4 linked regions of the Notamacropus eugenii genome follow. The protein of the gene in region 4 binds, or shares a complex with, the protein of the main gene of each other region. Links are inferred from orthologs where the notes say so. Each region holds a gene or a part of one and is shown on either strand. Other genes may lie near its edges. The genes, in order: AGK, TIMM10B, TIMM10 and TIMM29.

Region 1 (7,833 bases), on a different chromosome or scaffold from region 4:
AAGCCCTTAACTGACTAAAAGCTGCAGAGAATTACCAAGACCCAATTATATTTATTGGCTACAAGAAACACCTGACTTGGAGAATCAAAATGCAACATTAAAGGCTTTCCTCCAATGGGGTATCTCTGATCCGTAGGATCACATAAGATTCCATAATAAATGCAATTAGAGATAGCAATCCAATGCCCCTGTAATAATCGCTATCCAATGAGGCACAAATCAGTGAGAATATGCTTGCCAAAGATATAGCGGAAGATGTCTTGTAAAGGGAGGACTCCCCAGATATGAAGATGTTCTCCAGGTCTATCATTTCAGAATGATAAAGTGCTGAACGTGGTAAGCCAAGGCCTCCTCAATATGACCCATGACTATTCAAAAAGTATCAGCATTATCCATCCATGAAGAAAAAACTAAAAGAAAAAAACATGCCTTTTGCCTAGATTATGGCATTTAGGTAGAAGGCAAGGCCATTAACTGAGGTAGCACATTGGTACATGTATTTAGGACATGTACTTCATACAGATAATGAATTGGAGCCCAAAAATGAAATCTAGAAAACTGTATAGTACTTCTAACAACATCAACCTGCTCCCTGGTACACTCATCTTTTTAATACCAATGTTCTTCTAGAGATCCCTTGACACTTAGCAGTCTTGCAATGCCACAGTTCTCAAAGATGTGGATGACCTGAGGTCTATAGAGAAGTATAGGTAGGCTAAACAGTATACATGCATGAACACAGACTAAAGGAAGAAGCTCTTTCCTTTTGTTACCATGGTCCAATATTACATAATAAGGAAGGCTTAGCAAGAGCAAATGTAATCTTTACCTTAACCACTCTCACACTTTGACTTCTTCACCAAAGAGTAGTAGTTTGGGAAAAGGAAGAACTAAAAAATGGCAAGTTAAGAAACAAGAATGGACAGGACTCAAAGATATGTATTTTATAGCTGAAGTCAAAAAGGAATTGCTGTTCTGTAACCTAGGGAAGTGCCCCGGGATTCAGCTCTCTCTCTACTGAGTCAGATCTAGCTGGGTCCTTCATTCTCTGGTCAGATTTCAAGAAAAGTTAGTTTAGGGATAGGTTCCAGGGCTAAGCCACCTAAACATCAAGGAAGGCATTTCTGCATTTTTCTCCCTATCAGAAAGGGGTATTAGGACATGCCCAGATTTTTCAGTCACCTGACCCAGAGGAATTACAACTTTGGGTAAGAAAAGAACTGGCAGGGTCAGTAATATATCTGAAAGATCATGGACAATAGGAGACAAATTATAAGCCTAAAAATGGGCAAACGATCCCAAGGTGGGGGAAGCGAACACAATCTATTGATTAATCTATTGATTAAGTGAGCTTAACTTCCATTCCTTGGAAAATTCTTCAATGAACCAAAGTGATGGCTGGTAAACATCTAGAAAGGGCAACAGGGGCTACAATTCTCAGCACGGCTTCATCTAGGGTGGACCATGCCACACTAACCTCACTTCCTTTTCTGACAAGTTACTGAACTAGTCAATGAGAATGCTACAGATAGAATTTGCCTGGATTTTGGAAAGGCTTTTGATAAAGCACCTTTTCTACTCTTATGGAGAGATATAAATTAGATAGTAAAACAATCGGCTCCAGATGACCACTTGCCGCCAGGACAGAATGAGGGTCTGCACCACTCAGGACCAGGTCCCTCGGGTTAAATCCAACACCCAGCCTGAATGGAGCGGCTGGAACAGCTCCCGACACACGGACAAGGACGGGAAGACGCCGTGAATTCTAGGAATCCTACAGGATCCAGTCCAGAGCGGGCAGCGAAAACGCCCAGGCGCCGCAGCGGCGCGGCGATGACCAGGTGCCTGAACCGCCGGCCTTACCCAGCAAGTACGGGAGCCGGACAGCTGGACAATTAATTCTACGCCAGAAGGGTTCCGTTTTTAACAGCTGGCCAATGAATGTGGGCTTGCACACCACTCCACACGTGCCAGAGACCTTTCATAGCTACCGTCTCCTTACATCCTCCCACACACCGGAGGCAAACAGAGGGGCCGGAGGGGAAGGAGAGCGGGCCGAGCGAGGGAGGCCAGGCCGCCCCCCACGAGGCTCCGCCCGCTCCCGACCCGGCCCGGCCCGGCGCCCGGCCCGTCCCACTCACCGCCTGCCCCGCCGCCCAGCAGCGCCTCTACAGGCCTCGCTCCGCGTTCCGCGCTCCACGCTCCGGGCCGCTCTTCCGGTGTGCAGACTTTAGCTCTTCCGCCCCGGCCCGAAAACCGCTGCCACCTGCGCTCGGGTTCCGCGGCGCTGCAGGCGCGCCCTGCCCCCGCGGCCCGAGGCGGGAATGCCCGGGAACGTCCGAGGGCTCCGCTCGGCCTCCTCCCTTCCCTCTCCCCCTCCCCCTCTCCCTTCTCCCGCCCCCTCCCCCAGCGCAGCCATCCACATGAATCTGAGCTCGGGGCAGGGCATCCAAGCAGCGTTCCCGCTTTCCCAAAAGCACAATGGACACAGGGTTCGTAGACCCCGGGGCTTTTCAGCTGGAAGAGCCTCTAGTCCCACCGCCCGTTTTACAGACGAGGAAACTGAGGCACAGAGAGGGGAGGTGACTGTCAAGGTCACGGAGCGGGTGGGCTTCCGGACCCAGTCCGGTCCTCCCGCTGCCCATCTTTCACACCGGGACTCACCGGTCAGGTTGTAAAGAGGAATCAACCAATCAGAATCCTTTGTTAAGTGTCTGCGGTGTCTCAAGAAGGTTACTTTGTATCAGGGAAAACAACACGTGCTAGCTATACGTATGTATTATATGTATCTACACATACACACACGTACGTATATGTATATATATATGCATGTATAGATATAGATAGATACATACCTGTGTATGTCACACACAAAATAAAATCAAGGTCATTTCAGAAGCTGGGGAGATCCGCAAAGGCCTCTGGGAAGAGATCCTGTTATAGCACAGTTTCAAAGGGAACTTGGGCTTCTGAGTGAGAGGCAAAGGTGAAGTCTGAAAAAAAACCAGCCAGATCTGAGATGGAGTGGCTTTTGTAAGGGTCAGCAGGAAGGCCAGTTTGACCAGAGAGTGCAGTGAATGAAAAATAACCTGTAGAGGGAGGATAAGACAGAAACCGCACTCATTTCATAAGATTCAGATGGACTCATCTCCCAGTCATCTTGTAGTCTAATATTTAAAAGAACCCAGTGACAATAATGCACTGTTGGTGTTGTGAAATGATTTAAGTATTCTAGTGAGCAACTTGGAACTGTCCTATAAAGCTGTGCATATCCTTTGACATAGCAATACCACTACTAGGTCTGTATCGCAAAGAAATTTTTAAAACAGGGAGGATCTATTTGTACAAAGGTATTTATAGCAGCTCTTTTTGTGTTGGCAAAGAATTGGAAATTGAAGGGATGCCCATCTATTGGGGAATGACTGAACAAATTGTAGCATGATTGTGGTGGAATACGATTGTGCTATAAAAAATGACAAGTACAATGATTTTAGAAAAACCAGGAAAGAGAGTAGAACTGATGCAGAATGAAGTGAGCAGAACCAGGATATTGTACACAGTAACGAAAATATTGTACGATGACTGATAAATACACAGCAGGGCTGTTATTGCAGGTTCACTCTTGATGTGATCAAACAGGAAGACAGCTTCAGAGGAGTTAATAATCTTATTTTATTTTAGTCTAGTCTTGTCAAAGGGGTTGCTGATAATGGGAGCACCAACTCCTTCCTACAGCATTCCCTAATCACCCTTCTGGCAGGGGCTGGCAACTACCCTCTACAACTTGATGGGGTCAATCAAGACAGACATATCTTGTGCACTACCCTAATCCCCTCAAGCTTCAATGGGGGCTTGTTGAGGCAAATACAGATTCTCCCCAAGCCTTGATGGGGGCTCATCAAGACTCGAACATCATTCCAGCTTGTACATTCAACCCTAAGGTTTCCCCACTCACTGACCAGTGCCTACCTGCTTTATAGGGCAACAAAGAAGGCACATTGCCAGCAACAGTCTCACAAGTTTACATTATTTCACCATTATATCTCACTGTACAGTTGTAGTGATATTTATAATTTTAAGCACAAATGTTTATAGTATTTATCATTATATAACACATTATATATTGCACAAGGGTAGTGGAAATGTTTACAAGTCATGAGCCTGGGAAATAAAGATTTTTATGGCTGTGGATCCTGGGAAACTAAACTCTAAGAAAGAATAACAAAAATCCACCTTACACACACTACAATCCACCTGAGTTACAATGGCTTAGCTATTCTCAGTGATACAATGATCCATTCTAAAGGACTCATGATGAAAAATGCCACCCCCCTCCAAAGAAAGAACTGATGGTGTCTGAATATAGATTAAAGCATACTATTTTTTCTCTTCCTTCCTTTCTTTCTGACTCTCCTTTCTTTGAGTGTTCTTCCACAAAATGACTAATATGGAAATGAGTTTTACATGACAACACATATTTAATTGCTCACTGTCTTAGGGGGAAGGGAGGGGTAGAATTTGGAACTCAAAACTTTTTAAAAATTGTTTTTTCATGTAATTGGGGAAACTATTATTTTAAAAAACAGTTCAGGAAAGAGGTGAAAAAAAAGTCCCCTATCATTATTGAAAGAGAAATCAATCAATAACCCTTTATTAAGCACCTACTCAGCACAGGCACTGTGCTAAGCACAGAAGATACCAAAAGAGGTCAGACAGTCCCTGCCCTCAAGGAGCTCAAGGAGCTCAGAGTCTAATGGAGGAGACAATAGGCAAACAAATATATGCAAAGTAAGCTACGTACAGAAAAAATAGGAAATAATTATAACAGGGATGATAATAGAAATGAGTTCCTCTATAACCAACCATACAAGAACATGATAATGGATGGTCTCATGCATTGTTGTAACAATACCTTGACTCGTCTGCCCCCGTCTAAAATGCTCCCTTTAACCCTGCTTTTTTGTCTTCTTAATTGTAAAAGTATATAGTCACTTCTCCTTGTCACCTACCCTTGAACAGAAAATAATCTCATTCTGATAACAAATTCTAACAACTGTATGACAAATATTTTCCCAGAACCTCATTTTTTCCTTTTGATTGATTCCCCTTTCCCGCACCCTTCCCTTTTCTGTGAAAGATATTATTTATTCTAAATTGCAGCAAAATGCTACTGGTTGGCTGTGTACTTTAACTGGGGCTGAAAAGTTATAAAAACTAACTGTATCCTAGGAAACTGAAGCTGCTATGGAGAACAGTCTTCTGTAGCATGAGAATACATTTCCTTGCTTTCAGTTTGGCTTCCTACCTTTGACCTATAGTCATTAGAACCCTAACCATGGGTACACGTCTCTCCCAAGAAGTCCCATTCCTCTTGGCGGAAGGAATTTCTTGATAGTAATCACCCTGGAAGTGTGGACTGGAGTCAGGTTTTTCCTATTATCTCAAAAAAAATCATTTATTAATTACCTACTTTGTGACAGGCACTGCAGGGCATTGTGGGTACAAATATAATGAATAAAACAATCCCCACTCACAAATTTGCATTCTAATGGGAGAGACGGCAAGAACATGCATAAGCATATACAGAACAAATATAAAGAGAATAGATAAATATTGAAGAGGGAAGACAGTAGCCCTTAAGAGTATCTGTAAAAGCCTTCATATAGAAGGTGATACTTGAACTGTGTCTTGAAGGAAGAGAGGAGTTCTGTGGTGAGAAAGGAGTGATTCTAGGCATGAGAGAAGACCACTGCAAAGACAGGGCATTGGGAGAAGGAAATTCATTGCTGAGGGACAGACAAAAGGCTACATTGGCCTTGGATCACAGAATATGTGGTGGGGGGCAATATGCAATACATTCAGAAGGTTGGAGCAAGGTGACAGAGTATTTTAAAAGCTGCACAGAAGAATTTATACATATACAATTATCCCTTCCACATCATGATTTTCCCCAATGCTGTTTCGATATATCAAGGGTCAGCATAAGAAATTAAATGATAATTTGGGGGGAGTTTTGTGGGAGCCCTAGATGACACTCGAAGGCCAGCAGTTGACACAGAAAAATACTTAACCCAAAATTTACAATGAAATACTGTAAACACCCCGTAAAAGAAAAAGAAATTATTCAAATGTCTTCTCTGGTATAAAAGGAAGACCAAAAAATTTTACATGGATTTTCCAGATCTTGGAGCACCTCACCTTCAACCCCTTTGATATGGAAAGGATAACTGTATCTGATTCTAGAGGCAATAGGAAACCACTGGAGTGTACTGAATAAGAAGAATCTCTCCTTAACCTGATCACTTTTGTCTTAAATTGATATTAGTTGTTAGTTGTAAATTAGATTGTACAAAGATCCACCTTCAGTTTCCTCATATGTAAAATAGTGATAATGATGGTATAGTACCTGTGTCAAAAGATTGCCATGAAGCTGAAATGATCTAATGTATTACAGCATTTCACAAATCTGAAAGTGTATGTAAATGTCAGTTTTTAGTATAACCCTCATTTATAAGATTTCTACATGTCGGTCTGAAACCCAGCTTTATAATTTTCGTATTTGTGGAGTTTCCTGATGTGCACCCATGTAACATCACCTGGTGAGATGCATGATCATAAAGAGGAAGGCAGGTCGGTACAGTAGAAAGACCACTAGTTCTGCAGTCTGAGGACAAAGGTTCAAATTCTACTTCTGACACTTTAGGGAATTTACTTTTTTTCCCCTCTGGTCTGTTTCCACATCTATAAAATGAGGAGTTTGGACAGCATGGCTTCTGAAGTCCCTTTCAACTCTATATCTGTGATCCTAAAAAAGGACTTTTGTGGCAGTGAGCAGTGTGAGATCATTAAAAGATCTGCAGTTTCCCAAATGTCATCTTCCTGCCTACCAAATTCTGGGCCTGCTTTGTTGTCTATATGCTGCATTTGTCCAACTTAAACATATTTTGTTGTTGTTCAGTAGTTTCAGTTGTGTCTGACTCTCTGTGACCCCATTTGAGGTTTTCTTGGCAGAGATACTGGAATAGTTTTCCACTTCCTTCTCCAGCTCATTTTGCAGATGAGGAAACTGAAGCAAACAGGGTTAAGTGACTTGTCCAGGGTCACACGTCTGAGGCCAGATTTGAATTCCAGTCTTCCTGACTCTGCTCTATTGACTTTGCCACCTAGCTGCCCCAGTTATACATATAATGCAGACCAAATGAGAGAAGGATTGGTCATGTATTAAGGATGAAAGGCAAATGAATGCTACACTCATCCTTATGACATTATAGATATTAAGATATTCTTAAAACAAAAGAATCCAAGGAAAGATCCAAGAGAGAGTTGGTACAGTAGACAGAGCATTGGACCTGGACTCAGGAAGACCTGAGTTCAAATCCTACCTCTTAACACTATCTAGCTGTGTGACATTGGGCAAGTCATTTAACATCAGTTTCCTCATCTATAAAATGGGGATAATAATAACACCTGCTTCCCAGGTAAGGATCAAATGTTGTTGTAAGGATCAAATGAAATAATACTTCTTAAATGCTTGGCATATAATGGGTGCTTAATTAATGCTAGCTGTTTTTTTAATCACCTAATATATAAATACTAGCTATTATATATATATGCATATATATGTAAGATGGACAACTAGGTGGCTTGGTTGTTGTCTTTCATTCTCAGAGGATCAAAATGACATTACTGTGTTAGAGTCAAGTTACAACGTGTCTGACTGTGACTGATCAGAGAATATGCTGTACCACAGGTCAGGCACAAATAGTCGATGTAAACATTTGGGGTGGATTCTCTAAATTTTCACATCTCTCATTTCTTTCCAGCTACTTCAAT
Region 2 (7,093 bases), on a different chromosome or scaffold from region 4:
TAGAAGAGATTTCAGGGCTTCAAAGAACGTGTTGAGAAAGTGGGTGAGAAAGTGGAATACTGACAAAGTTTAGTACAGACTACTCTTCCTAGGACTTTGATAGTGAAGACAGAGAACAAAAGCTGAAGAGGGTAGCAGAGTCCAGGGTAAGTTTTTGGTTTTTTTAGGATAAGAAGATTGAGGGTCAAAGAAACAAGGGAGAAAATGTTTGTATGGGAAGAAAGACAGAGAAGAGGGATGAGAGTTGAATCAAGGTCTTAGAAGAGAAGTCAGGGAATACAATTTAAGATACAGATAGGGATTTGGCAAGGAAATTAGCCACTAAGAAACAAAAGATGCCTAAAGAAGTTTCTCTGACAGCCTGAGACTTCCTAAATCCTATAGCCAATACTTTGAGACAGCATCTTTCTCTTCATCTCAAACTCCTGTCCAGGAGAGGGACAAGAAAAGTCTCAACCAATCCATACCCTGCTTCCCCTAAAGCAAGCACACACAAGCATGGACACTTATAAGGACTTTACTACTGACAGGCAGGGTCAGATAAGGGGGAAAGGTACAATTAGGGATGTTTTGCCATCTCCGGGTTTCAGTGACAGGGATCAGAAGGGTTGCCATGAACTAATAATTCCTTTTCTTGTATTCCAATCCTTCTGAGGATCCAGGCAATCTTCTCTTTCTGTTCAGTCATCTCTGGTTCTAGCCCTTTGTACTATTTCCTTTGGAATTTGGAGGATATCCTGGTCTACTCTCCCTCTGCCTGGACACCACTTGTGGGAGATGATGGGCCCCTGGTGTGATGACATAAGGGTATTTGGTAAGCAACAACTGAGGTGGAACTGACACAGGATAGCCCCAGAAAGCCCCCTAAATTGCCCATGTCACACTATACGCTTTCCAGATATCAGAAAGTCCCATATTTGAGCATTCCATTCCAAGGTGGTAGGTGAACAGGAATCCCTTAGCTTCCTGGGCCTAGAGCCCCATGCTGGCCAGTCACGGGGCTTGATGGAGATCCAGTTGTCTCTGCCAGTGCTGCAGTGGCCTCATAGTCTGCCATGCGCTGCTGTACCAGGGCAGGCATCAGCTGTACATAGGCGGCCATTAGGCGGTGATTGGAGTAGACCAGCTTTCCTGCACAGCTGTCCAGGCAAGCCTCCTAGAAAGGAGGGAGAAGGGTGGTGTCAGTCTCCCTCCTCCCCAAGTTTACTTCCAGTTACAGTTTCTTTCCTCAGTCCAGAGGAGCACTTTCCACCTCCCTACAGAGAACATCTCTTACACACACCTCTTCTGCATCCAGGGCTCGATGGTGCAAGCTGGGCACACAGCGTTGGAAGCAGAGTTCCGTCATCCGGTTATACACCAACAAAAAGTCCCGAAGCTGGGGGCAAAGGGGAGAGGAGAAGAGGAGTGATGAGGTCCCGGGGAAGACACCTTCTACAGAAAAGGCTTATACAATTAGTACTAGAAGTGACCGTAAATATTCTGTCCTTAACTCCCAGCCTTTTATAGATAAGGAAAACAGGATGGGGTGGGGGGGAGAGAAGAGTGACCTGCCTGAGGTTAAAGCGTGAATCAATCAGAGAACCAAAACAAGAGCCACCAAACCCAGAGCTCTTTTCAAAGCACAGATCAGGATTAGTCGGAGGAAGGGGCCAGAGGCTGCACACGCAGACAAGCAGACACACGAGCGTGGGAACAGCGGGAATCGGGGGGTGGGGCTGGGAGACGCCCCCGAAGGCACTCCCTTCCCCAGCCAGCCTCAGACGTGAAAGGGAGTCCCGAGCACTCAGGGTCCCTGCCCTTGAAGCATTCTCCCGAGGCATTCCCTTGCCCGTCCCGGGCCATACAGGCCTCTCCATCTCAACGTCAGACCGCGCCTCCAGCCCCCGATCCTGGCACTAAGGATGCACCAAAGAGCGCATGCTCCACAATCGGCCGCACAGCCTGCCCTCTCTTAACACACCGGGTTTCCCTCTCCCTTTGTCCCAGACCAGGCTCCGGCGGCCCATGGGGTAGGAGCGAGGGACCCGCCGAGCCGAAGAGAACCTTCACAGCCCGACTCACGTTTCTCAGCTGCTGCTGCTGCTGCTGCTGGTGCTGCTGCTGTGACTCCATGGCCCCACAGGGCGCAGGCCCCTTACGTCACTTCCGCAACCGCGCACACCTTGCCCCCGCCTACGGCGCTAGGCGGCGTGGCCCGGCTCGTGGTGTCACTTCCGCCCTGGCGGTGGGCAACGCGGCTGCCTTCATTTGCCCGGCAGAGAACGTCATTTCCGCCGTGTCCCTGACCTGCTGCGAGGAGCGCGAAGGGAACCGGAGCCCGAGGTCCCAGGACGGCCCCGGGCCCGGCGCCCCGAGGGCAGGGCAGGGACAGGCGAGGCTGCCGGGAGAGAGGAAAGGAAGTCAAGGGAGCGTGGCCCAGCCAGAGGTGAGGAAGCTGGGCGACACCTACCTGAGCCCTGGGGGGGGAGGAGGAAGACCCACACCTGAGTCAATGGGGGGGAAGGAGCGCTTAGCTGCGTCCACCTGAGCTCGGTGAAGAGGGTCACCCACCCGAGCCCTAGGGACAGGGGGAAGGAGAAGGGACCCGGCTGAGCTGAGGGCTTAAGAGGGGAGGAGGGGCACCCAGCCAAAGCCAGGGTTTAAGGGGGGAGGAGGGGCACCCACCTGAGCCCAGGAAGGAGGAGGGGCGCCCACCTGAGACAAGTGGGGGGAAGAGGGGCATCCAACTCGGCCAAGGGGAGAGGACGAACACCTACCCACGTCCAGGGCAGAATTCTCCTGAAGGATGAATGCACCTGGGTCCGTGGGAAGTACAATATGTTTACTGAGGATAGATGCCCTTATTCGAACTTTTGCCTCCCCCAGCCATGACTGACGGGATCCTGGGGAAAGCGGCCACCATGGAGATCCCCATCCACGGCAATGGCGAGGCTGGACGGCTTCCTGAAGATGATGGGCTGGAGCAGGTGGGGGTCTGTTTGCTCCGAGCTCCCCAGTGTACTCATATCCCTGGTGCCAGTAACTTGTCCTGACCTCCTTACTTAAGAACTCTTAATCTTCTGTCCATTCTCTGACTTACTCTGTTCCATTAATACCCTTACTACTCTTAAATTCCCTGGTGCCCCATACCATGCCTTGACCTCGCTAAGCCTCACGTTCATGATCATGCCATCTCTGGGTGCCCCATCTATTCTAATACTCCTTTAAATACCCAAACTCCCATCCTATCTTCTAATCTCTCTTGTACTTGCACCTCTAACTATACCTTAGCCTTACCAAATCTTGGACCTCCCAATCCCCCTACTTTCTGTCACCCTACTCCAAACTAGGTTACCTTCCTACACCTTGAATTCTCTGAACTTCTCCTGTGAGTCCTCCATTCCTCATCTCTGTGTCTCTACCTAATTGTCCCTCTTCACTCCCACTTGACCCCTCATAGGACCTGCAGCAGGTGATGGTATCTGGACCAAATCTCAATGAGACGAGCATTGTGTCAGGAGGCTATGGGGGCTCGGCTGATGGTCTTATCCCCACAGGTATGAGGTAGAGGACTTGGGGAATTATTGGGGTTGAAAACCTGAGAAATTGTTGGTTAAAGGAAGAAAAGAGGGGATAGAGACAGAAATGGTTATCATGCAGATCACAGAATTTTATCCTTTAGGGCCTGGCCGTCAGCAGCCCCACAGTGCAACCCCTGCTGGCCCTGGTGACGAAGTGGCCCGGGGCATTGCTGGGGAGAAGTTTGACATTGTCAAGAAGTGGGGCATCAACACCTACAAGGTGGGGCTTGTGTCCCCTCAGCCCCCTGTCCCGTGGGTTCCCCCAGATCCTATCTCCTGTTAATGCCCTACCTCTTCCCCGGTCCCTGGATCCCATCCCATCCCTTCCTTCACCCCTGCCCTTGCTCCTCCAGGGGCTCATAGTCACAAACTTGGGAGGGGGGCAGGTATTTCCATATTCTGGGGGGCTCTTGTCTCCGGGAGGGCCCTCTGACTGCCTGGGGCCTGCTCAGTGTACAAAGCAGCTGCTGTCCGAACGGTTTGGCCGAGGATCACGCACCGTGGACCTAGAGTTGGAGCTGCAGATTGAGCTGCTACGGGACACAAAGCGCAAGTATGAGAGTATTCTTCAGCTGGGCCGGGCACTCACTGCTCACCTCTATAGCCTGCTGCAGACTCAGCATGCCCTGGGTGATGCCTTCGCTGACCTCAGCCAGAAGTCCCCCGAGCTCCAGGTGTGTGCACCTACCTCCCTTCCACTTTGAGGGCAACAGGGGACCAGGGGCAAGGCATGACCTCTGGGCCCCTATGTTCATTCAACCCACAGGAGGAATTTGGTTATAATGCAGAGACACAGAAGTTGCTGTGTAAGAATGGGGAGACTCTGTTGGGGGCTGTCAATTTCTTTGTGTCCAGCATCAACACCCTGGTCACCAAAACCATGGAGGACACTCTTATGACTGTCAAGCAATATGAGGCTGCCAGGTAGGAATGTACAAGCCATAAAATTGGAGTGGGGAGTGAGTACGGGGCTCAAGGTCAGGACGCCTTAGGCCTTACTCCCCAAGTTTTATTCATACATGACTCTTTCTGTTCCCCTAGACTGGAATATGATGCATACCGCACAGACTTAGAGGAACTGAGCTTGGGTCCACGGGATGCCGGGACTCTGGGCCGACTTGAAAGTGCCCAGGCCACATTCCAGACACATCGTGAGAAGTATGAGAAACTTCGTGGGGACGTGGCTATCAAGCTCAAATTTCTGGAGGAGAACAAGGTGCTAAACTGTCCCCCTCACCCCTACCCCCTAACTCCTCTCAATGTTTTTCTCTTCCCACCTCCTCCCAACTGACCCCCATCCATGCCCCCAGATCAAGGTGATGCACAAACAGCTGCTGCTTTTCCACAATGCCGTGTCCGCTTACTTCGCTGGGAACCAGCAGCAACTTGAGCAGACCCTGCAGCAGTTCAACATCAAGCTTCGGCCCCCAGGCTCTGAGAAACCCTCTTGGCTGGAGGAGCAGTGAGATGGCCTGGCCTGGCCCTCCACTCCCAAGAAGCACTCCTGGCTACAGGAGCAGTGAGGCCTGCCCCCTTGGATTGGCCCCTGTCCCCAAGAAGCCCTCCTAGGTGGAGGATCAGTGGACCTCCTCCCTAGGAGGGGCTGAGGGGAGCAGGAATAAGTGCCCTCCTCTCCAACAAGCCTACTAGGGGAGCAGAGAGAAGCCTTTTTTGGTAGGGAAGAGATTGGGACAGGGAAAGCAAGAATGTACACTTCCCCTTTCCCTTCATCCTTCTTTGCCCAGGATCTCCCTTCCAGGACCTTAGCTTCTTGTGGGTGGTAAAGGGAGGCACACCCCAGGAGAGAGGACCAGGTTGGGCAACTACTGGACCAGGTGCAACAGCACTTAGTTCTGATGCCTAAGGCCCTGCTCCTCTGTCAGCTAGTTTGGCCTCACTTTCCAGATCTTTTCCCACTACCCCTCAGCCAGTGGTTGTTTTCCCCAAGGGCCCTCTTCCCAACCAATGGCATTAATTCCCAGGGTTCTCCCTTAAGCCAATGGCATCACTCCTGGGTCTTTCCCTTGGCCGATAGCAGGTCTCCTGGGGCCCTACCCTGAGCTAGCATCACTCGGGGATCCTTTAGCCAATGGCATTGCCCTCAGTGCCCTCCCCCTCCACTCCCTCCATTACTGTTGGTGGGGGAGGAAGAGGGGAGGGTCTTAGGACCAAAGGGTAGCAGACTGGGGAGGTATGGGGCAAGGACTAGGGGTGCCGTGCTGTCTGTCCCAGCATCTGCCTGTCTCTTTCTATGCCCTGGAGCCAGGGTGGTGTTTCTCTTAATTTAATTGTGGGTGGGACTCTGGGGTGCCTGTCCAGTCTGTAGAAACTGTCACACCAGCCCTAGGGTGGCCTGGGAGCCTGGGACCAGAAATAAACCTTTCATAAAACCTGGCCCGGGCCTGTTTGTTGGGGGGTAAAGGGTCTGGGAGGATGATGCATAGAGCACAGGCCCTCTAGACTTGGGCCTGAGCCCCTTGCACTTACACTCTAGAGGACTCGGTCCTTACACTAATGCAGTTCCTAGGCATTGTGGCCCCAGACTTCCTTTGGTTATACTCAGATCCAGGGATACCCAGTCCTTTCACATTCTAACTGCCACTGACACTACTTGTTTCTCCTTGGAATTTGTTATCTTCAGCCCACCCATGCTTCTGGCTTCTCTGCATTCTCTGTTGCCTCTGACACCAGCGCAAGAAAAGGCCCTTTGAGGCTTCCAAAGGGAAACTTGTTAGTGACTCCAGGGAAACGGACAGATGGGAAAAGTTTACATTGCAAACTTCCTGCTTCCTGGTGCTTTCCTTGTGGTGTTTCTGTCACTCCTCCATCTAAATCTTATATTAACTCTCTAAATGACACCTGCTGCTTTTCCCCTTCTGTTCAGAATTGGGAGGGGGAAAGATAGAAGGAACTGGTCCACTAGGTGTCACAGACAAGTAGTCACATAGAGCGGGGGTATACAGTCAATGTCACTGGCATCATACCAGGCAGCTTGTTTTCTCCAGTCACCCTGGTTTCTTACCAGACTTTGGCAAGTCATTCTCTCTCCCAATTTAAAGCAAACAACAATGTTTATTTTTTAATATTCCCTTCCCCATGAGTCAGTAAAATGCCTTGAGCAGTTCCTGGATTGTACTGCAGTTGATATATCTGTAAAATACCTTGTATGAGCATTTTGAACTGCAATTTCTACACCAACTTTTACAATTAAGAATTTAAATTCTTTAAGGTAATAAACATAATTAGAATGGTATTTCCTATTGAATTATATTTTAAACACATCCTAAACACAAGAGTCCTAGGTATCTAATCTAGTTTGTTGGCCTAAAGATTAGTTATGAAAGGTCATTGTGCTGCATTGGGGTTTAGAGCAAACAACCAACCAAACTCAGAAGTAGTATAGCTGGGATTTCCTCTCCTCCCTGCCACCCCCACTTCCATTAACAGTGGTCAGATTTATTACAGAGGGAGAGTTCTGTTCACCAGTTTGTGTTGTCACCTGGACCACACCACTTCAGGTAATACATGCT
Region 3 (6,948 bases), on a different chromosome or scaffold from region 4:
ACGCGCTTTCTCATTTTCTGGCTAAATACAGAAGTTCCTTTTGAGTCTGATTCCTCAAACTTTTCGTCACCTTAGTGTGGCTTTTTCTGGATCTTCTCCAATTTCTCCCTATGCTCTTTAACATTCAGGGAGTCCATGGGGGCTGGGGGAGGGAGCTTGACAGTGTTTCTTTGATCTGGGATGTGTCCGGGCTTTTTTCCTCATCTTGTGCCTGGGTTTTCTCTATCTAGGAGAGAACAATACTGACCCCTGGTGAAATTCAATGATAAAGCTCCCTTCCATGAAGGAAGAAGATGGAAGAAATTTTGGCATAGCCAGGTTGGGAAGATGGGGTGGGCAGAATCTGGACAAAGCACAGGAGCAAGTGACTGCCTAGGGGAACGTCTGGGGTGGAAACTGGAGGAGGATGAGGCGGGAAGAGCCTTGGGCTCACAACTGGAGGACATTAGTTTTGCAGCCTCTGTCTGGCAAGTCTCCTACTCTCTGAGTGGTGATTTCCTACCCTGTAAAATTAGGGGATTGGGCTAAATCATTTCTGAGGTCTCCCCCCCCCTCCTCTTCCTCCTACTTCTCCTCCTGCTTTTTCTCCTCCTCTTCTATGAATTCTCTCACTGAAACAAGAGCTGCTGGGGATAATAGGTTTCTACCTTAAAAAGACAGGAGAGAGATGGAAGGAGCAAGTGTGGAGGAAACATATCTCCTCTGTGAACCTTTCAGAATAGAGGTGGCAGATGGCAGTCAGTAGGCCTAGCCTGACTATGAATTCACAAACTGTCTTAAAAGACATCCAAACCACCTATCAGCCTACTGGAACTGTGAAACTTGAAGTTTGAAGGGACCTGAAGGGATCATCTGGTCCAACCTGTTGATTTCACCTATGATGAAACTGAGACTTAAAGAAATAAAATGATTTGTCCATGACCACACTACACATTGATGGCAAAGCTAGGACAAGCATTCAGGTGGAACCTTGTGGGTGAGAGTCAAAAAGGAAGTCATGGTGGGGAGGAAGGCTTAAAAATAACTGCCCTGTGTACTGGGAGAAAGAGAAAGAGAGGTTTCAAATGGGGTAAATTATCTCAAATAAAAGAGGCAAGAAGGAGCTTTTACAGTGGAGGGGAAGAGGGGGGGATGTGAGGGGAAGTGCGTGAACCTTAGGCTTATCAGAATTCTTTCAAAGAGGGAATATGTACACACTCAATTGAATATAGAAATCTATCTTACCCTACAGGAAAGTAGGGGAAAGGGGATAAGAGAAGGGGGAGGGAGATGATAAAAGGGAGGGTAGACTGGGGGAGAAGAGAGTCAGGAGCAAAATACTTTTGAGGAGGAATAGGGTGAAAGGAGAGAAAGAATAAAATAAATGGGGGAGGGGTGAAGAAATAATGTTAGTCTTTTACAACATGATTATTATGGAAATGTTTTGCATGACTACACCTATATTAAGCTGCTTGCCTTCTCAGTGAGATGGGGTGGGGAGGGAGGAAGAGAGAGAATTTGGAACTCAAAGTTTTAAAAATGAATGTTAAAATTGTTTTTACATGTAACTGTGGAAATTAAAATACTAAATAAAAGTTTAAAAAAACTCTAAAAAATAGCTTCCCTTCCTTCCCCTTTTCTTACTTGCCTTTCCTTTCCTTTTTCTTTCTTTCCCTTCCTCCATTTATCCACCACAAATAATTGTTTATAAAGGACATACTATGTACCAAGAACTGTGCTAGGTCCTAGAAAGACAAAGAAAAAGAGGAAAGGAGACAGTTCCTGTGCTCAAGGACATCGTGTCAGGAAATACATTTGCCACATGCACACATATAAGTTTCTAATTCTATCCCTCCAACTACTCTTTGAAGAAACTAATACCTGAACTGCCTTCTTTATTGGATAGTTGTAAGGAGGTAAGTACTGCATGTTCAGCGATATGACTATCAGCTCTTAATGTCCAATATCTCACAGCTGGTTTAGTGAGTCAGTTTCCCCCATATTGTAAAGTCTATGCAGAGGCAGTAAAATAGCCTGGTGATGAGGTAGTGTGATATAGTGGGCAGAATAACTGCTTTTGTCAGAGGATTTGGGTTTGAATCCTAACGGAGAAGTAACACAATTAAAGAAACTCAGAGCTGAAGGTCCTGTAATCCAACAGGAACCAAAATCCTTTCCACAACCTCTTCAACAAGTGTTGATCCAACCTTTGTTTCACTTGAAAATCTCCTGTGAGAAGACTTCTATCACCAGCCAGACAGTCAATAAGCATTTATTAAGTGCCCACTATGTGCCAGGCTAAATGGCTCAATGGATAGAGTCCTGAAACCCAAGTCAGAAAGACCTGAATTCAAATTTGATTTCAAATACTAGTTGTGTGACCCTGGGCAAGTCACTTAACCTCTGTTTGCCTTAATCCACTGAAGAAAGAAATGGCAAATCATTCCAGTATTTTTGCCAAGAAAACCCCATATGAGTCATGAAGAATCAGACGGGGACCGAACAAACAAAAAAATGTGCCAAGTGTTGCAATCTACTCCTCTTCTGGTCAGCTGGAATCGATACTAAATGTTTATTTACATTAAGTCTAAATCTGCTTCTGCACCTTGGGTCTTTTGCTCCCAATTCTACATTCTGGGAACAAACGGATTAAATCCAATTCCTCTTCTGCTGTGTGGCCTCATTGGATCTTTTTTATAGCATGGGGGAGGAGATAGGTAAAATGAGGCAGGTTGGATAAGATGCTCTTGGGGGCATTCTTTCTCTTCTTTTCCAAAGCTCCAAGGTAACTGGACACCAACTGGTCTGCTTCTGTCAATAATCCAGTCCACTCCTACTTGACTGGATCTTATATTTAGAGGTAGAAGGAGCCTTGGAGAACATCCAGTCTAACCCTCCCCCCCCCCATTTTACAGGTGAGGAAACCAAGATCCAGAGAGAAGTTGATGAAGGTTGGAAGGGCAGGGTGAGAACCCCACAAAGACAGGGGTACCAGGGGCAGGTCACCTGGAATGAATTCGTGGATTCAAGCATTGTTGAGGTCAAGGTAAAGATTTATTATGTTTTTCAGTGGGCAAGAATTCTTAGGGAACTTGCAACCTTAGAGGGGTACAGGTAAAGGATATTCTATAGTGAAGCATGTGCCAAATATGCTAACTAGGTGTTTGGGGGTAGGATTAGGGAGTGGTTAGTTCTTAAGGGAACATGCACTTTTGATATCTACTGCACAAATTTTTACCCCCAATTCATCTGGCAATAGCCCAAGTGGGGGGCGGGGGGGCTACCTGGAGGTGTGGTTTTAGACCTGAAACTTCACTAAGCCAACTAGAGGTCAGGATTGACTCAGGAATATCAGGTGGCTCTCATGAATGTCTTGTTAGACAAGACAAACATAAGGAAGTATATGTATCTCTAAGTTAGGATACATAGTACTAATAAATTCTACAGCATGCTACTGTAGCAAGGGGGGAGATAAAGATTGTTGCTAGGACAGGCTGTGCTGGGGAGAAACTGCCTGGGATTGCACATATAGGGAGGATGGGCTTTGGCGGGCTTGTCCACAGGGGAAGGGCTTGCCTGGTGGGTTGGGGCTGGGGTGGCCTCTTCTGTAACTTCAGGACAACACTGAGACCCTAACAGGGAGAGGCGGTGGATGCCCATGGAGGGAGGGGGCAGAGAAGGGTGTTGTATGTGGGGTCAGGAGGCAAGTTTCTCCATCTGTAAAATGGGAATCTTTGCGTCCCCAGCGATTAGCCTGATATCCAGTTGGAGGTATTAGGGTAATTATGGTGGAGAAGCCGTATGAAGAGGTTGGAGTCTCCTCCACCCAATCCCAGCCTCCGAGCACGTCCAGATTCGGGGCCCGTGCCCTTCCCCACCCAGTCAGGAGCTCCGCCCCCATCCCTGTGACGTCACAAAGGACGCTCGCTCCAGCTCAACTCTCCCGCCTCGCGCATTCCCTGCTTCCGCCCGCCTTCCCTCTCTATGGTCGCGGCCCCCGGCGTCCTAGAGCGGACCCGGGCGGCCCTACCCGCCCCCTGCCCGGGGCAGCACTTCCTGTTTCCCCGGAAGTGGGCTAGGACTTCGGCTACCGCGGCCCCACGCTTCCCCTAGGTGAGTCTGTGTTGTTGCCAGGGGCGCCTGTGGATCCTGGGCCGGGGGAGCATGGGGCGGGGGGGTGCTCCGAACGTCTGGGTCTCTTGTGTGTGCCTTCCCTCCCCTTCGCTTGGGGAACGGGAGGAGATAGCAGTGCCGTGATACTATCCATGACCCCTGACGCACTGCCAGCGTGACCCCTGACCCTTGACCTTCATTCTTTGACCAACTGACTGAGCAGCCCCTCCTGATGAACCTCCGCCCGGTCACCGACTCCTGACCGTAATGCCACAGACCCCGCCCTGTTGTTTGATCTCTTAGTTTGTTCTTAGGGTCGTGAGCCGGAGGCTGGAAGGAGCCTTGGAGGCCGTCGGGTACAGCTGGGGAAACTGAGGCCCGTGGGGCCTAGTGCGGTGCCCAAAGACGCCCCGACCTGGAGGTCCTGCCCTGCACGGGGAACCCCTGCAGCTGGAGAGGGACCTCCTCTTTTTACAGATGAGGAAACTGAGGCCCGGAGAGCGGAAGTGTCTCCACCTCTTACTGGCGGAGCGCTCATCATTTCGGCTTAGGGCCTCAGTTTCCTCATCTGTCCACACTTGTCCAGACAGGGATTCTTTGCCAGGGTTATATGAACCTGTTTGTCCAAAATATTTGTCCGTGTGATTGATAACTTTTGCAGTCTAGCACATTTACAAACATTCTGAGCAGGTGTCACCCCACTGACCCCCCCCCCCCAGGGGGTCCCTGATACCAAAGCGCAATAGTGGATCCAAATCTGGCCCTGCCCCTGACACGTCCTGCCTTGGAGACCCGAACTTTTAGTGCTGTAGGCCTCTGGCGTCCAACTCAAACAGGGATTGCCTTAGAAAACCACATTTTTATTTATTCTGTAAAACATTTCCCAGCCACATTTTCACCTGGTTCAGGGCTTACGTTTCACACTTAAGCTCCAGAAAGTTCTCTAAGATTATAAATTATAAAGAAAGTGCTGCCCTGGACTGGTGGGGTTTGGGGGGACCCTCATGCAGGGATTCCCTATTGCCAAAATAAAACCTTGCTCTACCTCTCTACCCCACAGGGTGGTGAGGAGGTTCCAGTGAGATGGTGGATGTGAGATGCTTTAGAAACTGAACCCACACAGTAATCATTTATGAAGTGCTGGCTACGTGCCAGGCTCTGGGCATAGCAAACAAACAGCAGTAAAAACCCCCAGCCCTGCCCTTAAGGAACTTAACTGGAAAGTGAGCTTCATGAAAGTCGGCCATGACTGTGCTTGTCTAAGGTCACACAGCCCTTTAATGGGAAAGTCTGTTTTCTTTGAATTTTAGAGGCACACAAGGATAGACTCATGTAAAGAAGGAGCTCAGGCCCCTCATGCCTCTGTTATGTTAGAGTTGTTCAGGTTTGCTGGGCAATCCTTAGTCAAAAATGCCACCACTGAACCATCAAACAGAAAACGTCAGGTTGAAGTCGGTGAAGCTTAGAATGCAAGGAACCATGACCCAACGCATCTAGTCCAGACACTTGGTTTTGTAGATGAAAAACTGAGGCCTAGAGAGGAGAAATGAGATGGATTGTTCCATCTAATCCCCAGGATACGTAACAACAATAACTACCACCAGAATTTGTACCCCACAGTCCAGTGACACTGGTCTTCTTGCTGTTCTTTGGTCACAACTTCCATCCCCTCTCATTTCTATGCCTTCTCCACTGGCTATTCCCCATGTCTGTAATGCTCCCTCCCCCAACCCCAGCCACCTCCATCTCCATCCTTTGGTTTGCCTGGCTTCCTTCAAGACTCAGCTCAGAATCCTACTTTGTGTAGGAGACCTGTCATGGTCCCCTTCACCCCTCCAGCTGCTTCCCTGTGAGATTATCTCCAATTTACCCACCATCTAATTGTTTGCATACTGTCTCCCTCATTAGATTGTGAGGTCATCAAGAGCCAGGAGCATTCTTTTGTTTTCACTATGCACTTAGCACAGTGCCTGGCATATAGTAAGTCCTTGATCAATGTTTAGTGATATGACTTGATAGCACCTATTAGAGCTTTTGCTCTACTGGTAGCCTTTGAGAACCCAAGGATCTTGGTGCCCAGAGACATTGAAGGAATTCAAGGTATCCAAGAAATCACTCACCAAGTAGTAGTAGGAACCGAGTGATCGACTGCCTGGGGAGGACAAAACCAGGCTTGCTAAATGAGAATAGCTCATTACTTTGTTGGCCATGGAATGGCAACCTTTTCAGCCCTCACTGAAGATTATCTCCTATGGCATGAAGGGATTGCAGTAGAGTTGGTGGAGGGAATTCATCAATGAAATATCCAAGTTCCCTTCTGCTGGTGTGTGACAGTGGTGTCAGTTACATTTTAATCTGGTTCCTGTGGGAGTTTGATGCTTAGTTTCTCACAGATTGTGCAAGAGATTATAAGCTCTGGTAGATCCCTCCAGTTTGGAAAGATGGACTTATGACACACTGTCTGCTTGTTGATTAACTTATCAGAAGGCCAGCCTAATTAGGTTGATGAAAGGGTCAACACAGAAGGTTGGCCAGAATTTTTCTAGATGTGATAACTTACAAAGTTGTCTTCTTAGGGCAAGAAGTCAATAGGATCTGCATTTTTAGGGTAGTACCTGTATTGATGAAATTATGTTCTATTTAATAATAGTAATGATTACACAGTAGCTCCTCTTTTTTATAGTGTTAGACCATTTATAAAGTAGTTTCCTTTTTAGAGTCCTGTTATTGCCCTTTTACAAGCATGGCCTGAAGAGGCTGTTATATGCCAGGAAGGGCCAAGGTTGTGATTAGAATCCAGTGCCTCAGACCTCGAGTGAACTGTACTCTCCATGTTGCAGCAATTCCTAGTTGGCT
Region 4 (5,896 bases):
GTGACATGCTGCTTTTTTTAATTTTATTTTTTTACAAAAATAACCAGTGTCAATCCACAGACTCCAGAGGCCAGGCTGGCCTGGCACAAGCATTAGCCAGCTGCCCCTACTGATAGACTCAGAAGATCACGGGGAAAAGGGTGTGGTGGGGAGGGAAATAGGGCAGGGAGGAGGAAGAAAGTCCCTGCTTTTGGCATGGCTGTCTAGTTGAGCGTGCCCCATATGACAGAGGCCTCTATACTCAGTTGGGAAAGCTGTGGCCCAGGGCCCGGGTAGCCTTGCTTCTCTGGGGAAGTCTGTGACCCCAGCACCAAAGGGTTCACCTCACACTTGAATGTACACACCAGCCCATGGCTGTCAGAAACAGCCTCTTCTCCCCTCCCAGCTCTGAGTGAACCATCACCTCTTCCTGCTCTCCTGTCACCTGTGACCCCAGAAGACCTTAGACAATTGTTCTTTCCTTCCTTTCTCCCTAAGAACAGGAGGGGACTGAGGCTTTGGCCAGTGCTACCCATTTGGGGGTGGGGGTGGGGGTGGATTAGTCAGTACTGGCAGAACAGAACCTAGGTTTGTTAATGGACGACCCTGTTTTTCTTTGTAGTTCGCATTAGGCCTGTGTATTCCCTGTATCTTAGTGTAGCCTCCAACCCTCATAGTGTGTCATTTTTGTCCCTTCCATGGGTGCCTGGTAAGGGACCTTGCAGGGATTCCTTCTTAGGAAATAAAACCAGAAATGAGTGTTGTATCACAGGCAGTTTTCTTCAACTCCAGCCTGTCCAGGCTTTTAGTCCCCACTAATAGGACAGAATGGGGCCCCCCTGAAGCAGGAGGGCCTGCAAACTCACGGACTCCCTCCCTTCTGCCCCATTTCAGTATGTAAGAGAATAAATCAATTTTACCCTGGTAGCTTTTCTGTTCACTGGTTTCTCACAATGGAAGTGCCCAGTATGCCCATAATTCCAGTAGGCCCTAACAAGGACTAGAAACCTTGTACGCAGATGAGAAGTTCCATGTTTATATAGTCTCTTTAAATCACATTTGCATAAAAAAATAAACTTTTTGATTTGTAAGAACTGTCTTCAAAGCAGCAGAATGAACAGTGACTCAGCAGGTGATGGCTCCTTCCATCACTGGAGATCACCTGATGACCAGTTGGCAGGTGGCAGGTGAACCCTGCTCTGGTTGTTTCTCCCCCAGGATGACTAACGGTACTTGATCTTGTCAGCTTTCCCCAGCTGCTAAAAAAAAAAAAAAGTAGAAACTAAGTGGAGGGATCCCAAATTATGTTTCTGCAGACCTGCTTGCTCTGTGAGCAAAGATCCTATTAAAAGGGGTGTGAAGCTAGTCTCTCAAGGAGTCACCTGTGAAACTTCTGTCCCTCCCCTGGGGGGGGTTTGCTTTGTGACCACATCTCTCCTTAGATGATGATTATTCTGCTTACCTCTTCTCCTAGGAGGCTGCAGAAGTCTTGGAGGAGCCAGGTGGTGTGACCTGGTGGAGTGGGGCTTGGGTCACAGGAACGGACCTTGAAGGCAGGAACTGGAAAAAATATAACTAAAGCAAGAAGTCTTGAGTCAGTGCTGAGGCTACAGGCCATTCCAGCCTGCCAGTTCCTCTATACCCTAGACAGCTGGTGCTACCTTGCAGCCGATGGCCAGGAGGCCGTGGAGGGCAACCATGACTGTAAGCAGCACAGCTGATACCACCTTGGTGTCTGAACGGACGAGAGGCCAGAAGGTGAGCAGGAGCATAGCCCCTGAAAGTGACACAGCCGTGACCCCAAGAAACCACTGAAGCCCCGAGATAGGGATCAGCCATAAGACCTGAGAGGGAGAGAGAGAGGCTATAGACTTCTGTCAGTATCTAATACCCCCAGCCCAGCCCCCAAGCCACCCTCACCACAGTCGGGATGTAGATGAAGAGGGAATATCCGTAGACACACACAATCTCCAGAAAGGTGTAGCAGCTCATGTGTTCCCTGACCCCCTTGCGCCACTGCAGAAAGCCCCATAGTGCCGTTGGTACCAGCCATGCGTAGCAGTAAATGGTGATCCCTGCAACAGTAACTGGGAGAGAAAACCCAAACCGTACCTGCTAAAGGCCAAGTAGCCCTCTAGTGCCCTGCAAGGGCCCCAGAACAGGCCCCAGAACAGGCCCCAGAACAGGCAGGTCTGCTGCATCCTTGAGCAGGCTTGCTCACCTTTATGAAACTGTGGGCTATAAGAAAAGGAAGAGTCTCTCCAGTTCTGCAGCAGGGTGGCCAGGTTGCTGCTCACAGCTAGTGTAAAGGCCAGTGTGGCACATATCCAGAAAGGCCCTAGGGAAGGAGTGGAAATAAAGTGCAGAATGTACATTAGATCCCTGAGAACTGCACCTCCCCAGCCCAGACAGAAATAGATCTGTACCCTGCCTCTAATTTCAAATCCTTTAGTTAGTGGAATTAAAACAGCTTTACCATATAGGTCTGGATGATGTCGAAGACGGTGTCTCACAAAGTTCTGGCTAGGAATTGGCAGCACTGAACTTCTGATCCTCTCCAGCACCTAGGATGGAAAAAAAGCACCCACCCACCCACCCACCAAAATCAGAACACTTAAGTGCCTATTAACATGTAGGGAGGTCATTGCTAGTACAAGGATGAATAGAAGTCCCTGCCTTTGAGGAATTTCATCAGAGGGGATCTATGTATACAAATAAGCACAGTATGAAGCCATAGCCTATCATGATAAGGACAAAAGGTGCATCCAGAAAGAGAATGTGTGCGTGTGGGGGGGATGTTGGGAAGGATCATTTTCAGCTATGTGGATCAGGAAAAGGAGCAGGGAAAAGAAGGTGGCACCTTCAGTACAAGCCTGTTGGGGGTAAGTGCACAAATACCAGCGGGCTTGATCAAAACAAATAAGCCTTTATGTTCTCCAGAAGCCAGTAAGGAGGGGCCTTCACTTTCCCACCTTAAGTGTGAACTAGCCTCAGGCCTTCACCTGATGGGTATCCACATCAAAGAAAGACTGGTGGTAGCTGAAGGTCCAGAAGTTTGGAGGTTGTTTCTCACCCCCAAGCAACTATAAGAGAAATGGTCAAAGGTGTGTCCTCTGAAGGCTCCCAGCTGGGTAACATAGAATTTCCAGGAAGGCCTAAACTCACCTGAGTCTGATCATTCTCTTCCAATTCTCCATCTTCTTGGTCCTCCATGTCCACAGCCAGGCTCACATGGCTCTGCAGTTCCCCAAGACTGGAGACGGTAGTAGCCCCTGGTGTCTCAGCCAGCAAGTCAGCAGCCATCTCAAATTCTGTAGATGTGACCAGTCCCATCCAGGCGACCCCTCCCCCCAAACTAAGAGCTGGCCATTGGTAGACCACCCTTCAGGTGCCCAAATTCTAGACCTCCATTCACCATGCCAGCCAGCCATTAATCTGTCCTTCCAGTTCAGATATGGAGTTGGGGATGAAGAGGAAGCCTGCCTGACAGTGCTGGGCGGGGGTAGGATGGGGAAGGTCCATGCAGGACAAGAGCATCAGCTAGGTAGCAAAGTGGACAAATCGCTAAGACCGGAGTCAGGAAGACCTGATTTCATATTTTGCCCCTAACACTTACTAGCTGTCACCCTGGGCAAGTCACTTAACCTGTTTGCCTCAGCACCTACCTTCCAAGGTTCAGAGAACCAAATGAAATATTTTTAATTAAAATACTTGGTACGGTGCCTGGACGTAGAAGGTGCTATAGAAATGTTAACTACTATCACTAGGAATAACCTCAGGTCTGGGTTCCAAGACGGGGCTGGGGAAGGGAAGGTCAAGGACAAAAGGTCCCTTGCGGGGGCAGGAAAGACGGGGATCTCTGAGGGAAGAGAATAGGGGTCTGGAATGCCTGGGGAGGGTCAGGGAGAGAAGACGGGTCCGGCGTTTGGATGGTCGGGGGAGGAGGGGTTGGGAGCTGTTCACTCACCGTGGAAGGTGAGCTCTTGGGGCGCAGCCATGGCCGGCGCTCTCACCACATCTCCAGCCTTGCGCCCCTGCGGAGACAGGTCGGGGGGTCAGGCAGCAAAGCCCCTCCCCCGGATCTAAAGCCTCGGGAGCCCGGCTTACTCAACCCACCCCTCCAGCTGTCGGCCAGCTGCGTGGAACGCCTCCTCTACGCCTGCGCCAGCTGGATCCGGGTCGAGCCCACTTAGTCCGAGGCAGGGGAGACAAGGCTTACCGCTTGCCCTGCCTGTCCTCCTCCGCGTGGTGGCGCTGCTTGTGGACGTCCAGATGGTACAGCCGGGTGCCGGGATGCTAACACTCTTGTCACCTTCCCCCGCCGCCCCCTTCTACACGTGAGCGCTTCCCTTATTCCCCTCCGGTGGGGAATCGTTTCCGGTAGCGCCTTGGCTCGAACCCGGTGACGCTGCAGTGTCGCGGCGAGGGGAATGTTTCCTTCCGGACCGTGGGGAAGTACGGAGCAGGAAGACGATGGTGGCCGCCGTACTGTGGAGGAGAGTGTACTCTAGCGGCGCCGCCGCCGGAGCGGGAGCGGGCCCCGGCGGGGGCGTAGCCAAGCGGCGCGTGTGGGAGCGGCTGGGTGAGTAGGGCCGGGACCGGGGGGAGGCCGGGGCCGGGGGGCCGACGTCCCGGGCGCTCACGCCGCCTCTCGCCCGCAGGCTCGTGGGTTCGCGGGCTCCTGCACGACTACGCCGAGGCGTGCGCGGACGCGGCGGCGGCGGCGCGGGAGCGGCCCGTGCGGGCGGCGCTGTACGCGGGGCTGCTGGGCGGGGCGGCCGCCTGCGCCCTTCGCACCCCGGAGGAGGCGTCCTTCGAGGAGGCGCTGCTGGACGCGTCCGGGACCCTGCTGCTTCTGGCGCCCGCCACCCGCAACCCCGGCTCGGAGGCGCACGTGCAGCGGCTGCTGTGGCTGCGGGGCCGGGGCCGGCTGCGCCACGTCCACCTGGGCCTGTGCTCGCTGCTCTACGAGGCGCCCTACGACCCCGAGGCCAGCCTGTACCAGGCGCGCTGCCCGCACCTGCAGCCCCGCTGGGCCGACTTCCCGGGCCGCGTGCTGGACGTGGGCTTCCTGGGCCGCTGGTGGGTGCTGAGCGCCAAGATGCGCGACTGCGACGTCAACGACGACGAGTTCCGCCACCTGCCGCCGCACCTGCGCACGCTGTCCGAGGACCAGCTGCGCTCCGAGGTCAACGAGTGGCTCTTCAGCCAGAAGTACCTGCCGGCCGTGCTCACGGAGGACCAGGTGGACCAGGCCCTGTGGGAGGAGCAGGTCCTGCAGAAGGAGAAGAAGGAGCGGCTGCTGCTGAGCGAGGCCGGCCCCGAGGGCGTGCCGCGCGCGGGGCTGAGCGCCGAGTGGCCGAGGGAGGGAGCTTCGGTGAAATAAACTGGTTTTTCCTCTCTTCTCTCTTTCCCATCTTTTTTTCCCTTAAACGAGTTGGTACAGTTTGGTGCACCAGGTAAGTGGAGTTGCTTTGGTTGTCCTTAGGGACAATCCAGGTTCTCTGGCCCCTTTCTTACCAGTCAGTTTGGAGGAAACCAGCTGCCGCAGGAAGATGGTCAGACGCAGAGCTCTGTATCTTCCTCCTCCCCGCCACTGCCTCCGACCCTCTTCAGGGTCTTCATTGTCATCAAGGCTACCAGCACCCTCCCAGTCGCTCAGACTTGTCCTCCCCTCCCCCCCCAAGCCAGTCATTTGCTCAGACCTCTTGCCTTCTTAACCTTTATATGTCTCCTCTTCCCTGAGGCCACTGCCACCAGGTAGAACAGATTATCACCTCAGGACCTGACTGCTGCCCCAAGTGTATCCCGACTTCAGTCAGTTCTCTACTCAGCTGTCACTTGGATCTGTAAGTACAGATCTGACACTGTGTCTCTCACTTACTCTCACACACGCTCCTCCCTTGCAGTAAACTCC

The links.
Region 1: the proteins of TIMM29 (region 4) and AGK are in contact, whole or in part, in a cryo-EM structure (PDB 7CGP), measured with the Homo sapiens proteins. The link is inferred for Notamacropus eugenii from reciprocal best matches to the Homo sapiens genes TIMM29 and AGK. Residues at the interface, in NP_612367.1 of Homo sapiens: Tyr145, Gln146, Cys149, Arg150, Tyr151, Leu152, Gln153, Arg155; in NP_060708.1 of Homo sapiens: His33, Asn36, Arg39, Arg40, Cys43, Gln44, Gln47, Asn51, Lys82, Pro86, His89, Leu90.
Region 2: TIMM29 (region 4) and TIMM10B share a complex: the UniProt entries of both Homo sapiens proteins name them as parts of the TIM22 complex. The link is inferred for Notamacropus eugenii from reciprocal best matches to the Homo sapiens genes TIMM29 and TIMM10B.
Region 3: the proteins of TIMM29 (region 4) and TIMM10 are in contact, whole or in part, in a cryo-EM structure (PDB 7CGP), measured with the Homo sapiens proteins. The link is inferred for Notamacropus eugenii from reciprocal best matches to the Homo sapiens genes TIMM29 and TIMM10. Residues at the interface, in NP_612367.1 of Homo sapiens: Asp181, Asp183, Ile184, Asp186, Phe189, Leu192, Leu196, Arg197, Val199, Gln203, Leu204, Ser206, Asn209, Glu210, Leu212, Phe213, Asp214; in NP_036588.1 of Homo sapiens: His30, Arg31, Lys32, Cys33, Pro35, Pro36, Leu43, Ser44, Lys45, Gly46, Glu47, Ser48, Val49, Arg53.

Annotation. Positions count from the first base shown.
Region 1 is NC_092874.1:107,529,298-107,537,130, forward strand, and holds the start of AGK (acylglycerol kinase, mitochondrial), read right to left. Parts: upstream 3,005-7,833; 5' UTR 2,856-3,004; intron 2,287-2,855; exon of another isoform or gene 1,571-2,286; intron 1-1,570. UniProt on the Homo sapiens protein: Lipid kinase that can phosphorylate both monoacylglycerol and diacylglycerol to form lysophosphatidic acid (LPA) and phosphatidic acid (PA), respectively. Does not phosphorylate sphingosine. Phosphorylates ceramide.
Region 2 is NC_092876.1:89,005,143-89,012,235, forward strand, and holds TIMM10B (mitochondrial import inner membrane translocase subunit Tim10 B), read right to left. Parts: upstream 2,224-7,093; 5' UTR 2,116-2,223; coding exon 2,065-2,115; intron 1,379-2,064; coding exon 1,283-1,378; intron 1,157-1,282; coding exon 959-1,156; 3' UTR 502-958; downstream 1-501. Other genes in the region: ARFIP2 (arfaptin-2), read left to right, coding at 2,871-2,969, 3,443-3,539, 3,665-3,783, 4,016-4,237, 4,330-4,487, 4,605-4,779, 4,874-5,029. UniProt on the Homo sapiens protein: Component of the TIM22 complex, a complex that mediates the import and insertion of multi-pass transmembrane proteins into the mitochondrial inner membrane.
Region 3 is NC_092873.1:3,159,449-3,166,396, reverse strand, and holds the start of TIMM10 (mitochondrial import inner membrane translocase subunit Tim10), read left to right. Parts: upstream 1-3,935; 5' UTR 3,936-4,092; intron 4,093-4,258; exon of another isoform or gene 4,259-4,356; intron 4,357-4,429; exon of another isoform or gene 4,430-4,448; intron 4,449-6,112; exon of another isoform or gene 6,113-6,192; intron 6,193-6,948.
Region 4 is NC_092875.1:79,089,507-79,095,402, reverse strand, and holds TIMM29 (mitochondrial import inner membrane translocase subunit Tim29), read left to right. Parts: upstream 1-4,436; 5' UTR 4,437-4,452; coding exon 4,453-4,561; intron 4,562-4,640; coding exon 4,641-5,365; 3' UTR 5,366-5,381; downstream 5,382-5,896. Other genes in the region: protein YIPF2, read right to left, coding at 1,450-1,554, 1,641-1,823, 1,900-2,066, 2,201-2,317, 2,456-2,543, 2,982-3,062, 3,145-3,290, 3,947-3,977. UniProt on the Homo sapiens protein: Component of the TIM22 complex, a complex that mediates the import and insertion of multi-pass transmembrane proteins into the mitochondrial inner membrane.